Danio rerio: one gene and its partner. The protein of the gene in region 1 interacts with the protein of each later gene in a biochemical or structural test. Links are inferred from orthologs where the notes say so. Each region holds a gene or a part of one and is shown on either strand. Other genes may lie near its edges.

Region 1 (7,039 bases):
GCATTTTTTCCTTACAGAATATATAAAAATGTATACTTTTCACTACTTATTTTTAATATATAACTTAACTTTGATATATATAATATAACTTTGATAAAACATTACCAAACATTACTTTTTTTTTTAAACTGTCATAAAATAATCTTGAAAAAAAAGTATGTTGTTTTTCAGAAAAATACAAAGAAACCACTTTCAGCAATTTAAAATCATCAGAAATATGACTTAATAATGTTCAAATTATTTCTAAAGGATGATGTGGCATTGACGACATTCAGCTATGATTCACAAAAATAAATTGTAACATATTTGAATAGAATAGTTATTGTAAATTTTAATAATATTTTACAATATTACATTTTTACTGTGTGTGTTTTTAATTAAACTATCAGAGTTCTGGTAGATGAGCATAATCATTTAAAAAAAAATCCCAAACATTTGAATTCTCCAATGCACCACCAGAATTGCATTAAATTACAAAAGAATCAAATGTATAAGTGGCTTATTTACTGTATTTCAAATCTACTGCCGTGATGTACATTTTCATTCTTAATTAGCATTGTGGATCATTTCCGCAGATTATTTTGTCTGATATTGGTGAGTCCCTTCCTGATTTGTTAAGTCGTAATGTCCTGAGGAGAAGGAAGGTCCCGGGTTTTCTTGAGGAGGAGGTCCGATACCCGAAAGAGTCTCTGGCCTGCATGTCCCACCTGCTGTTTGTGGATCATATAGCTGTCGACATATTTCCAGCTGTTTTCAGGTGAAGAGATGAGGAGTTTAATTTGTATTATAAATCATCTCTGAATAAATCCTCATATTAATGCTGACATGTTTTTTTTTTTTTCAGTCCAATTTTTGTTCTTCAGTGCAACATGGAATACATTGAGTTGCTTTTAAGCAGGTAATTATAACTAGGTAGTTTTAACTGAGTAAGTTTGAGTTCTCGTAATTATTGTATGTTCATCTTCTGCTCTTCCTCCACAGAACTGAAGAAAACCGTCTGCAGAAAGGACTGGTATGTTCATTACGCCTCAGTTCTTACCACAAATGTATCATTTAGGCACCAATTGATGTACATTACCAAGTCTTGTCGCCTATCCAAGTTTTAACAACAACAAATAATAACTTGACATCTAGATGATCATTTTGGATCAGAAGTGGCTAATATGAAAGGCAAAGGCCTTTAAATTGCGCATATTTTACAAAAAAAAATAAAAAATGATCGTGCTTTGATTTATAATTATTCAATTAGGACAGTAAAGTCTGACTTTGCTTTGACAAAAGTCTTGTCACTTAACATAAATAATGTACAGCAGGGGTTCTCAACTGGTTTGGCCATGGGACCCACATCTTTACATGGTCATCAAGCTGTGACCCAAATTTTAAGGAACTATATTATAAATTTAGGAATTATAATTAATTCGCATTCATTTGTTAGCACACATAAGTAAATCATAAGAAAATTACCAATATTTACAAATAAACCGTATTTTATTGTTGTCATAACAAAATGTATCAAATTATAGAAATAATACAAAGTAAAAACGACAAATACTGTAAACAGTGGTTAGAATAAGGAAAGTTCATGAAAGTATCATGAACTAAACTGAATTGTTAATTAAACATATTGTTGTCTGGTTTCTAAATGTCATTTTAGTTTAAAAGAGTTCATGCTCTATTGTGAGAGCACCTCACTACATATGGCACACCGAGGCTTGAAGTGTTTTTTGTTGTCAATATATGTAAATCCATACTTTTCATCTTGCATATTTATTGCTTTAATTAAATGAAATTTCACATGTCAAACGGTAGGGTTGTCGCGAGCGCATTTTAAAATAAAAGTCCGGTGTAAGCAAAATATGTTTTTAAACTTTTTTTTTTTTTCACCACACACTCTGTGACCCACTAAAAATGGGTCGCGAACCACCAGTTGAGAAACACTGATGTACAGTATAGAATATAAAGTCATGGTGCAGTCGGAAATAATTAATGTTGTGTATGTTCTTGAGCGTGTGGTTGCGGGTCAACTGCAAAACCACCTTAAGCTAAATGCCTTATTTGATGTATTTCAATCGGGCTTTAGATCGGGTTACAGTGTGGAAACAGCTTTAGTTAAGGTCACTAATGACCTTATGATTGCTGACTCTGGGGCTTGTGGTATTCTGGTGCTCTTGGATCTAACTGCAGCATTTGACACTATCTCTCACAGCATACTATTGGACAGACTTCGAAACTGGGTTGGCTTAGCCGGGACAGCACTAAGTTGGTTTATATCCTACCTCACTGAACAATCACAGTTCATTTATTTGGGAGGTCATAGATCGCGGACTGGTCTGTGTCACGGTGTCCCCCTGGGTTCGGTACTCGGGCCACTTTTGTTTAGCATTTATATGCTACCTCTGGGAAAAATTCTACAAAAATATGATATTAATTATCATTGCTTTGCTGACGACACACAGATTTCAAGAGTTCGCCCTTAGCTGATGATTGATTAATGAAGCTACTGTAGTTTGGCATACTGTTCCGGGAGAGAGCCCTGAACTCGTGAGATCCTTGAGCCCGGGGCTACCTCCTGTTGCAGGGCGAGAGGGGAGTCCGAGTTCAGTTAGGTCTCAAGAACTCCCCTGCTTGATAATGTTGGAAGTAGATTAATGCTGTGAGGTGTGTATGCTGTCAATTTAGATTTGTCAATTTGCTTATGTTACATGTTTTTGGTCTGTGGGAGGAAACCGGAGAGTCCGGTGAAACCCACGCAAACACAAGGAGAACATGCAAACTCCGCACTGAAATGCCGACCTGGCCAGGAAGTGTCCGAGCCAGTGACATTCTTGCTGTGCGGCCATGGTGCTAACCACTAGGCCTCCATGCTGCCCTGACAAGGAAATGGGAGGAGTTGGGGTGGAAGAGGGGATTCTTCAAGATGAAGATGGCTGAAGTAAGATACTCTGGTTATTTATAGTGGTTAAGGAGTCGTCTGATTGGTAAATCAGTGTGTTAGCTAATGTGGACTAGGTGCTATCAATCATGAGCATGTGCTCCTCTCGAAAATAGTTTATAAATAAACTTTACTTATATTAGTAGTCTGAGAAACTGAGGTAGCTGTTGATGTTGCCATGCAGATCTCTCGCATGCCCCTATACCGAATGTAACCCTAAACCATGATTTTTCCTTAACCGAACTTGACTGATTTCTGTGAGAATCTTGGGACCATGTGGGTTCCAGTAGGTCTTCTGCAGTATTTGTGATGATTGGGATGCAGTTCAACAGAAGATTCATCTGAAAAATCTACCTTCTGCCACTTTTCCACATGATCAACTTAGTCAAGTTATTATTTGTTGCTTTTACAACTGTGATCGATGACAAGACCTTTGTCAAGTAGTGAATTACCTGTCATTGTAATTTTGCTGTAATTCTTCAATCACAGGAACTGTATGAAAAAAGTCTTGTAAGAGTTGAAGAGAACAGTCTGCCAGTAGATCTTTTGGAGCTAAAGACATTTTTTAGTGTTCCACAGGTAAAAATGAATAAACATAACAGTTATGCATGTGTTTATATTAAATGTTACTGATAAACCCTCCGTTTTCTCTTTAGAACTTGGTTAAAGTTATGACTATGTGTCCAGACCAGACTCTGGTAAGTATGAGGTTGTGTGTGGAGGTAAAATGAAATATATCATTGGTGTTCTCATTGTTAATTTTTATTGGTCTCTGCTTAAACCATTATCACAGAGAACTAAAGGCCTTAAAGTGTTTCAGCTGAGCATTGACAAATTCAACACAGAAGCTAAATACAAGTTTTTCAGGTAAGCCCTCATTCTGATGTTTGGAAAATGTTATTATTATTTGGTAAAACACAATATTGTTATTTGATAGAAAACAACGCGACATACAGAGTCATAAACAGTGTGATATACAGAGAAATGCTTACACAACCATTCGTGACCTTAAAATAATAACAACAATAATGAAATGATAAAAGTAATAACAACAATATTCTAAATTATAAAGAAATAGATGTAATGCAATAGAAATTAAAGCAAATATAAAATATTTAAAGACTTCAGATGTGGCTGTAGAAAGAAAGTACATAGTATAAAAATATAAAAGATTTTTCTGTACAAACAGAAACAGAAGTGTTTCTAACAAAGTGCCCGGTGCATAAGAGAGGAATGAGTGTATTATACTGGTGGTTTGTAGGGATTTTCAAATTGATTGGCCGGAGATCGGCAATGGCTGATAATCACATTTAATGACTCAATCGGTACTCGTCAATCTGGCTGATCTCGGATAACGGGTGTTAGTTCATGAGTTTACAAGGAGAGGAAGATGCACGTGCGCACCTAGGTTGAACAGATAGCTGCACTACAACAGTGATCGCTGCGCATGCTTCACAGCAGCTAAAATATTTACAGATGTGGTGCGACCTCTGTTTATTCATTTTAGTGAGAGTCTCTTTGTTGTAACCATTGTATATCCAGTGTTTTGAGCTGCTGTGATTAGACATGGGCCGGTATAAGATTCTGACAGTATGGTAACATTGGATAAAATTATCATAGTTTAACAGTATTGTGATTACAAATATGCTCTAAAATATTTTCTTTTTAAATGTCTGGGTAAAAAAACAAAAAAAAATTTCCCCAATATATTTTATCTTTTGAAAGATTTATAATAGTTTGGAGCAGTAAATTGTCAGTATAAATAAATCAAAAGATTAATTTACCTCTGTTGTCTACATTTGTTCCGAAGACACCGATTTTATTTTATTTATTTTTTTTACAATTTAATTTACAGCTTTATTTTATTTTTTTATTTATTTATTTTTTATTTTTTGCTGGAGTTACTGTTGTCCTAAAAAACAAAACAAAAAAGTAAAAAAAAATCTTACACATACCTTAGGAACGGTATTGCAGAAAATTCTGGCATTTTTAAAACCTTGACTTCTTCAAACCGTGGTATACCTTGAAAACGGTTATCGTCCCATGCCTAGCTGTGATACTAGCAGAGCAATCAACCCCATCTTGTGTCCAACCGTATGAACTCTCCCAGAAGGTACGCGTGTGTCCCACATGTTATCTATTATTTTCTGTAAAGGTGCTTCTGTCGACATGAAATGGTTATAAGAGACATTTTTACGATTATAGGCAGTAATAATAATGTATAGGATTATATGCAGCATCCTTTGTTTATTATCTTAGGTAAGGAGAGATCTCCACTTAAGTACTTAGAGAAAAAAAAGGTGCTTTATGTAATGGCAAAGTTACTTAAAGTGCCTTGAAGCATCAGAATCAGTACAAGGTATCGACCGATCACCATGACAAGGAATCGGTACACTGTATCAGCTGCAAAAAAAACCTGATCAGAGCATCCCTAGTGGTTTGTCAAGCCTGCTAATCTGTATGGAGTATACTAGAACTATACAATACAGTTCAAGGCAGAATAATTAGCCCACCTGTTTATTTTTTTTTTTACCCAATTTTCTGTTTAACGGAGAGATTTTTTCAACACATTTATAAACATAATAGTTTTAATAACTCCTTCATAATAACTGATTTATTTTATCTTTGCCATGATGACAGTAAATAATATTTAACTAGATTTTTTTAAAGACACTTCTATACAGCTTAAAGTAACATTTAAAGGCCTAACTAGGTTAATCAGGTTAACTAGGCAGGTTAGGGTAATTAGGCAAGTTATTGTATAATGATGGTTTGTTCTGTAGACTATCGGGAAAAAATAGTGTAAAGGGGCTAATAATTTTGTCCTTAAAAGGGTGTTTAAAAAATTTTAAACTGCTTTTATTCTAGCCGAAATTAAACAAATAAGACTTTCTCCAGAATAAAAAAATATTATCAGACATACTATGAAAATTTTCTTGCTCTGTTAAACATAATTTAGGAAATATTTAAAAAAGAAAAAATAATTCAAAGGGGGGCTAATAATTCTGACTTCAACAGTATATATCCAGGTTGTGTGCAGATGTGCATAACTGTCCAAGAGTGTCCAGTGGGTGTGGAAAGTGCATGAATGTGCAGATGTGCAATGTTCATAAGTGTCTGTAAAATGTGCAATGTGCAAAAAAGGCTTTCAGTCCTGTGTGTTGCACGATTGAGAGACCGGTAACAATATAATAATGTGCCATTGTTAAACCATGGAGAATTTCAAGTAATGGCTGCACCATGGTTTGCTTTTATATACAGTATGTTGATATGATTATCCAGTTTATGCACCAATTTAGCAAAACACTGATACTAATGTAAACACTGGTATACATTCTTATGTTGGACAAGGTTTATTTTGATAGATTATATTAGTGCTGTCAAAAGATTAATCACATCCAAAATAAAAACATATGTGTGTGTGTATATATATATATATATATATATATATATATATATATATATATATATATATATATATATATATATATATATATATATATATATATAAATATATATATATAAATATATATATATATATATATATATATATATATATATATATATATATATATATATATATTTATATATATATATATATATATATATATATACACAATTAATTTGGTTTTGTGTTTTTTTTATATAATTATTATTATTTTTTTAATTAATACAAAGTGAGTACACATCCATTTTTTAAAAACAAACTATTATTTTGGATGTGATTAATCGATTAACAGCTCTAACTGATTTAATCAAATGTGATTTATATTTTACAATGTGAATTTAGAACCTTGCACTTGGGACTATCAGACTAGTGTTTAAATAGCATCGATATTTAGATAAGTTTTATGATGTCTAACTGTCTGATGTATAGGATTTCTCTACTTTTCAGAGGTATGTTGAAAACCAGTCATCATGCAGGAGTGGAGGGATATATTATCAAGAATATCAAGAATCAGATTGACTCTTCCCTCAAGGTAAGATAACCAGTGTTGGGCATGCTATGCAGAGTAAATAGTTATAGTTACTAGTAGGGCTGTATATATATATATATATATATATATATATATATATATATATATATATATATATATATATATATAT
Region 2 (7,768 bases), on another chromosome or scaffold:
TCATCTTCTTCTACTGTTTTCTTCCTTACCCCAAATGAACGCATGCTTTGCTTTCAATTAGAGGAAGTTGTGCGTGGGCATCCAGTGTGTAAATCAGTGCTTAGTGCTCATGAATAAAGTCATTATTTGTATATTTTTGTGCACACAAATGTATTCTCATAGCTTCATAACATTGTGATTGAATCACTGAAGACATATAGACTGTGTTCAAAATTTGCGTTCACCATCAGGACTTTGAATGTCTTGTGACTGTTGCTGTATACAGAGGATCAGAGAGCTTCTGGATGTCATCTAAAATATCTTAATTTGTGTGACATTTGTTGACAATGAACACAGCTTTCAGGCTAAGCAATTTAACACACAATTTTTTATTTTTGAATGAACTACCCATTTAAGGCTGGATTTATTTGTTCTGCAACACTGGCAACAAGTAGACAGCACTGGGGCTTTTTGGCCCACTGAACAAGTTGATTTGGCATCCGTTGGTGCAAGAATAAACACTTATTGGCTGTTAAATTTAGCACAGGAGTGCAACACAATTAAAGTAACCAACAAAGTCACAAGTTGGCTTACTGACAAATCTGAGAGATTATTGCTAGATAGATGAACTGCTTTGCATTTATTGATCGTTTTAGAAACAAGAAAACTACCTTCCACAGTTGCACCCTCATTAGGCTTTGTGTAACCCTCCCCCTTAGTGATGATCCTGCGGGTAATTCCACCATCTTCATCATCTGTGATGTCCTCCCCACGAAAGTCAAACAATTCCACCTGCAACAAACAAGTGGACACATTAATACAGAAACTGTGCTAGCAAAAATCCAAGGTTTTTACACTAATTCCAAAGCCAAATTTAAGCACTTTTCAGGAGCATTTTCAAACATAAAGTGCAAATGACATTTACATATACTTAATGATATTAAATCAGCTGCTAATCGTTATTGTACACTATAGTGTAGTATTCCAAGAAAAATGTTAAATGGTGTGTTCACCCCAAGCCCAATATTGAATTAGTGTCATTTACTTGTACACGTTTTACACTCTTTTACACTTTATTAGGTACACCTGTCCAACTGTCGTTAACGCAAATTTCTAATCAGCCAATCACATGGCAGCAACTCAATGCATTTAGGCATGAAGACATGGGCTGTTTCTCAATTCCAAGAACGCAGAGAATGGACTTGCGATCTTGTGGAGACCGGTCTTGACAGGTATCCTCGGAAGAACGAACTCGGGAGACCGCGAGGGCAGAAAACGCGTCCTTTGAGAAATGGGATGCTGCGTTCTTCCTGATGGTCACGTGACCTTCACTCGTTTTAAATGTAAATCATTTAAACATTACAGCACTCATACAACGATTTATTGTTTTCCCTTCTCTTCAAAATATATACTTTGCATAAAAACATTATAAATATACTCTGCACAATATAAATAAAACAAATTTTAATACGAATTTCAGCAAACAAACACCCTTAATGTGTTTATTCCTTTTTTAAGATATTCATGTTAATGTTTACTTTCACCGTTTCATTTAGGAAAACTCCTGAGGTAAATAAGTGATATCTCTGAACTTTAATAATAAATCTAAATTAAATGCTGCGCTTCCCACCTCCAGTCGCAATGACTTCTGGGACTTCCAGAGCGAGTTCGGTGCTCAAGTCTGCATCAGTGCGTCCTCGATATCAAGATCACATCCGGGAAGTTTCACGCGTCCTCCGTACTTGCGGCCTTGACGTTGCACGAGAACACGAGGACGCAAGACCGCTGAAGAACGCATATTGAGAAACAGCCATGGTCAAGACGATCTGCTGCAGTTCCAACAGCATCAGAATGGGGAACAAAGATTTTGACTTTGAACACGGCATGTTTGTTGGTGCCAGTTGGGCTGGTCTGAGTATTTCAGAAACTGCTGATCTACAGGGATTTTCATGCACAACCAGACAGGTAGCAGCAGCAGTTCGGGGGGTGCAAATGCATTGTTAATGCCAGAAGTCAGAGTAGAATGGCCAGACTGATCATGGATGTGTTGCCGACAAATCTGTAGCAACTACGTGATGCTATCATGTCAATATGAACCAAAATCTCTGAGGAATATTTCCAGTATCTTGTTGAATCTATGCCACGAATAATTAAGGCAGTTCTGAAAGCAAAAAGGGGTCCAATCCTGTACTAGTAAGTGTACCTAATAAAGTGGCCGGCAAGTGTAAGTTAAATGTCAAATTTAAAATTTCCAAAAGCGCAGACAAAAAAAAAAAAAAGAAAAGGAAAGAGACTTATTTTTATTTAAGTACTTCATCATTATTCCATATTACGTAAGAAATTGTTTCAATTACATTTTCAAGCACTTTATCCAAGACCTTAAAAACAGCAGATCCAAATTCAAGCATATTTTTTAAGGATTTCCCGCACCAGTACAAACATTGACAATCTCAGCAGTCTATTACATTACCTGGAACAGAAGAGTAGCATTAGGAGGGATTTTTGGGGGGCTGCCAGCAGCTCCGTATGCATACTCAGGTTTGCATGTCAATTGGCAGATCTCGCCAATCTTCATTGTAGCCACACCGATGTCCCATGCTTTGATCACCTGACCTGCGAGATGGAGCAAATAATTGTCTAAAATTGTTGACTTGGATGCGCAATGATGTTTTGCTTGCATTTACAAATGCATCTGTTCCTATGCCCTGCAGTTTTCTGCCCTTATCTCGAACACAGGCTTGGATTTGTATTCGCCTCAATCTAATCGACAAGTAAAAATATATATAATACCTGCTACATTTCTAGATATATCTTTTATTTTACTTTCAATTCTATCATCACAAATCAGGTATTTCATCTAAAGCAATTTTAAGTAACATAATATTAAGAAATGTCTAAGATGTTTTCATGTTTACAACAAGATAAGAGACATTGAGAATACACCCTTGTGGTTTATTATTTAAGCTTCTGCTATTCATGAAAAAGAAACAAGAAGCTAAATGAAACTACAGAGGTTGCCGAGTACATTAAACATCAAGATGAACAGGTTAATCTGATCACATTCTTACAAACTCATAGTTTCAGGGGAAATGTTGTTTACAGTTTTAAAGTGTGTCAGAAGCTTTACGGCTGTGACATTATAGTTGTGTGTTTAGGCGCACAACATAAAGACAGACAGGTTAGTTAGTCAAGATTATCATCAAGTACGTTTACATGGACACCAATAATCTTATTAATACGATTAAGACAATACTCTGATTAAGAGTCTACCATGTAAACAGCGATTTGATTCATTTAATCTAATTAAGGTCATAATCGATCCAAACAGAAATCGAATTTAGACGTGGAGTATGCTGATTTTAGTCGAACTGAACTTCAACTCTGAAAACTGGACTGACACAGTTTCAATCTACTACAACTTCTATGTTAAGCTGCTTTGACTCAGCCTACATTGTAAAAGCGCTACAGAAATAAAGATGGATTCAATTCATCTAATTCACCTAGACTCTGTTTAAGAGTCAGCGAGGGCGAACTACCATTTAGCGCACTTCACCCTTACTCACCTTTGCCCAGCTCAAAGGAGAACTTTTCCCCTCGATCACGGCTGGAGTCGAACTGTGAGCCATCAAGCAGTGTTCCGACATAGTGCACAAATACTTTATCACCAATCATAGGCAACTCGGTGCCAGTACCCTCCTTCTTGACCAACTGTGGAAGAGAGAAAGAGATTCATCTTCAATCTGTTGGGCACACTGCACTACACCTGTGACCTGTCAATCTTCAAAGACCGCAGGGCAGAAAGATGTTCACGCCTAATGCTTAGGTTAATGACTTTATACACAAATAACTCTTATATGTTTGTAATAATCGAATAGTTTAAGCATACACAGAGCCATATTCCACACAATAATCACACAATAAATAAAATTATTAAGTTATTTAGGTGAATTCTTCTTGAATGAGTTGCACCGAAAGCGTTTAATTATCCCAAACAAGTAATTCCTGTATTTGTATCTGATAACACCAACCTGAGGTTTCCAGAGATTACATGCTTTGATTGCTACTGATTTTAATCACATAAGTTACATGTGTCACTTGTATATTAAACAGAAGCGGCACAAAACTTTGTTTAATTAACATTGCAAACCAAAAGAATTGTAATACTAAAAATAAATAGGAAGATTCACCTAAAAATAAGATTTGTCACATTTGCTAACTTTAACGTTGTTTATAAAACTGAATGGTTGTGCTTTTGTTTACAAAACAATATATTTACCAGTCACCATTCGTTTTAGTAACGTTAGCATACAACAATGCATAATGAAAGTGAACGGTGACCCGCGGCTGTCAGACGCTAATGTCTCCTTTTGTGTTTACATTACAAGGTAAATCATATAGGTTTATGAACACATTGAGACGAAATGAATCAGATCAGAAATATTATAATTTCTGAAGCGAATTCTCTCTTTAGGCGCGGTAGAAAGATCTAGAAAACGCAGCACAATTAGCAACAGGCGTTGTTTATTAATACATACTGTTAAAATAGTCACATTTAAATGCACAACAACAGCTATAGCAGTAGTAAAAGTGCATTAATAGACAGACATATCGTCTGTAACATGCTTTTTAGTCAGTCACACCTCCCACATGGAGTCAATGCGGCTCAATGCCCTGCAGTATTTACCTTTAAAACCCCTCCATCTTTCTTCGGGGTAATGTCTTCACCCTCGATGGGGATGCTACAACCTTCATTCGCCACCTCCTCTGCAGTCATCGTCGCTTTAATATAGGTATCACCTTCAAAATACCACCAAAATACAGACTGAGTCTCCTCGCCGAGGTCTTTCCTTCAACAGCTAACGTGCAGAAATCACTGAAGACTCGACGTCTGCAGGGCTAAACGGCTTTAATTTCGGTATTAGGAGTGGATTTGCTAAGCTATCGCGCGATTGTGGCAGTCAGCGGCCGATAAATGTGGTTTTTGGGAACGCGCAGGGACTCCGCGAGGCGTTTATATAACGATCGGGCCGCCGCTGGAAACTGAATCGACTCAGCGAACTTTCCAGAGCTGCGCGAGAGCGAGGAGACGGCAAAGTCTAGAACTGACTGCAGCGTGAGGGACCGTCGCAAAATTCTAAACCCAGTCATTAGCGGAGAAAGGGATATGCGAGTTTGTGATACAATCAGATTGTAGAGAAATCCAAATGTCGTAATCAACACTCCTATTACAATATGACTATTCTATTTTCCACATTTTCATTTGAATTGTAAAAACTGATACCGTTTTAGCAGTGTATATTTAATAAAAAGGAAAATATCTGTTAGCATTTACATAAAGCTTTATATATATATATATATATATATATATATATATATATATATATATATATATATATATATATATATATATATATATATATATATATATATATATATATATTACCTTCTAACTGTAAAATCTCCCATACTGACATCATATATATGGGGCGTCTGCATATTTAATAACTGAATAACTGACAGTGCACGTTCATTGAAAAGTAAGAATGATTAATAAATCCATATGAAACAGTCCCTTAAAAGTGACACACTCAGGCGCACTTTGCACTCACACTACAAGTGTAACTGCCTAAGCTGTCATGTTATTGTTGATGTTGCTCGGATTACTTGAAAAGTCCCCATTAGATCATAACCTGCTTTGGATAAACACTTCAGCTATATTATTTAATTTAAGTGTATGAAAGCACATATTTTAGTCTATATAATTTTATTAGTTTTCCCAGAGATGGGTTGTGGCTGGAAGGGCATCCGATGTGTAAAAACTTGCTGGATAAGTTGGCGGTTCATTCTGCGGTGGCGACCCCGGATTAATAAAGGGACTAAGCCAACAAGAAAATGAATGAATGAATAATTCTATTCGCTTGTTAAGTGGTGACGTGTTGGTGCCGTATGTAATACTTTTTCCGGGTCCACTCATTTGAATTGACAAAATATTTGTTTATGATCACTTTTTATTCTTATTATACATTAAAGTGAATTTTATATAAAGTTATGGTGTACACAACAGTCTCTGGGCTTGCTGCATCCCAAATTCCAAAATTTTAACAATTTATAAAAAAAAAAACGAATCACTTTCTGCCCATCGGATATTAGGCATGGATCTATATATTGCGATCATGATTTTCGCAAGTATTACAGCGCTTTGAAAATGTTTATCATTACCCTTTCATGAGTCTCCTCATACAGTTTGATAAAGTGATTTGACCTGGAAGCCGCTTCGCATGACGACATCACACTTAACAAGCGGAGACAGGGAGATGATAGATAGATAGATAGATAGATAGATAGATAGATAGATAGATAGATAGATAGATAGATAATACTAGCCTGCATTATAATACATAGTTTGTAAGTTATAATAATAAAGTTTACACTGAATCTTATAATCTATGTTGTTAATGTTGCTATATGCAAATATTTAAACATCAAGGAAATTGCATGCACATAAAAACCACTAATACAAAAACTGAAAACATTTCAGTGGCATACAGTTCACTAGAAGCGCTTGACCCAGGTTACTGACAAATAAAAGTTTTTCCACATACGTCTACATTTACCCAATTAAAATACATTAAAACCGAAGAAAATACAACAAAAGTATTACTGATAAACAAAACATCACAGTTGTATTAAAAATTATTGAAAAATAAACATGAATCATTAAAAAAAAAAAAATCATCCGTTTTCGTTTTTCACAAAAGAGTGAACTTTAATGATGGTTCCTATCCTCTAAGAAGTTTTCCCTCGTGTTCATTGGCTGAGGCAGAAGACTGGCGCGTTTGTTCGAGGAAGTTTACACTGTCAGAACGTGTTTTGGTTTGTTGTGTAGTTACCTGTTAATTCTGTTTGCTATTTGCGATTTCATTGGGATTATACGGTAGATTTTTATCATAACTGAAGTCATATTTTGATGATACCATGAGGAGTTTATTGTCGGCGTAAAAAGCGCTCATATGCAGTGTTGATTTTCGTGTTATTCGGCCTTTAACGTTATTTAGGAATCTAATCTAATGCCACATATATAAAATGGAGAGCAAAAGTGGCCGGTTTCCTTTCCCTTTCCAGCCGTATCCCATCCAGGAGAGCTTTATGGAGGCGCTTTACACCGCCCTGGATCAGCGTAAAGTCGGTATATTCGAGAGTCCCACAGGCACGGTGAGTCTCCACATGAGGTTATGGTTTCAGTTTACCCTCAGCTAAGGCACTGCAGGTAAACAGGGTTACAAATTGAATAATAGTTATCACTATACTTAGATTGTTGAACATTATTTGTATTACACGTTTTCGACTCGTCAGTATCTTCATATTTCATTAAATGTGCTCTAATGTGCAAACATTTTTAGCACAAACATCTGAATATTCGATTAAGTCGGGTTTAAAGTTCATGTTTTTTTATTTCAGTCAATTTTGGGAAAGATACAAAAGGAATCTTGTTAACACAATGAGTATATAATCAAATTTAGCAAATTATATAGGCATACAGAATAAAACTGTACAATGTGTTGTGACTATGTAAGTGCTGATGAAGTGGAGATATATGCTCAGCAGGGGCGATTTTAGGATATTCATTTTTGCATCATATGCTTTTTTCCTGACCTTGAAAATATAATCGGCTGAATCGTCGAAAAAGCCGAATTAAGATCAAGATTTAAAGTGGACTGAGGCGATAATTTAGTGTACAGTTCATGAGCTAATCGCAAAAAAATGTTGGGGTGCAGAGTAGCTACAGCCC

The links. The genes of interacting proteins can lie anywhere in the genome.
Region 2: the proteins of glmna (region 1) and fkbp4 form a complex in vitro, tested with the Homo sapiens proteins (2 studies listed by BioGRID). The link is inferred for Danio rerio from reciprocal best matches to the Homo sapiens genes GLMN and FKBP4.

Annotation. Positions count from the first base shown.
Region 1 is NC_133177.1:11,256,988-11,264,026, forward strand, and holds part of glmna (glomulin, FKBP associated protein a), read left to right. Parts: intron 1-575; coding exon 576-757; intron 758-844; coding exon 845-898; intron 899-981; coding exon 982-1,012; intron 1,013-3,421; coding exon 3,422-3,511; intron 3,512-3,588; coding exon 3,589-3,630; intron 3,631-3,725; coding exon 3,726-3,799; intron 3,800-6,827; coding exon 6,828-6,912; intron 6,913-7,039.
Region 2 is NC_133193.1:7,695,682-7,703,449, reverse strand, and holds the start of fkbp4 (peptidyl-prolyl cis-trans isomerase FKBP4), read right to left. Parts: upstream 5,050-7,768; 5' UTR 4,754-5,049; coding exon 4,664-4,753; intron 3,688-4,663; coding exon 3,543-3,687; intron 2,593-3,542; coding exon 2,450-2,592; intron 772-2,449; coding exon 651-771; intron 1-650. UniProt on the Homo sapiens protein: Immunophilin protein with PPIase and co-chaperone activities. Component of steroid receptors heterocomplexes through interaction with heat-shock protein 90 (HSP90).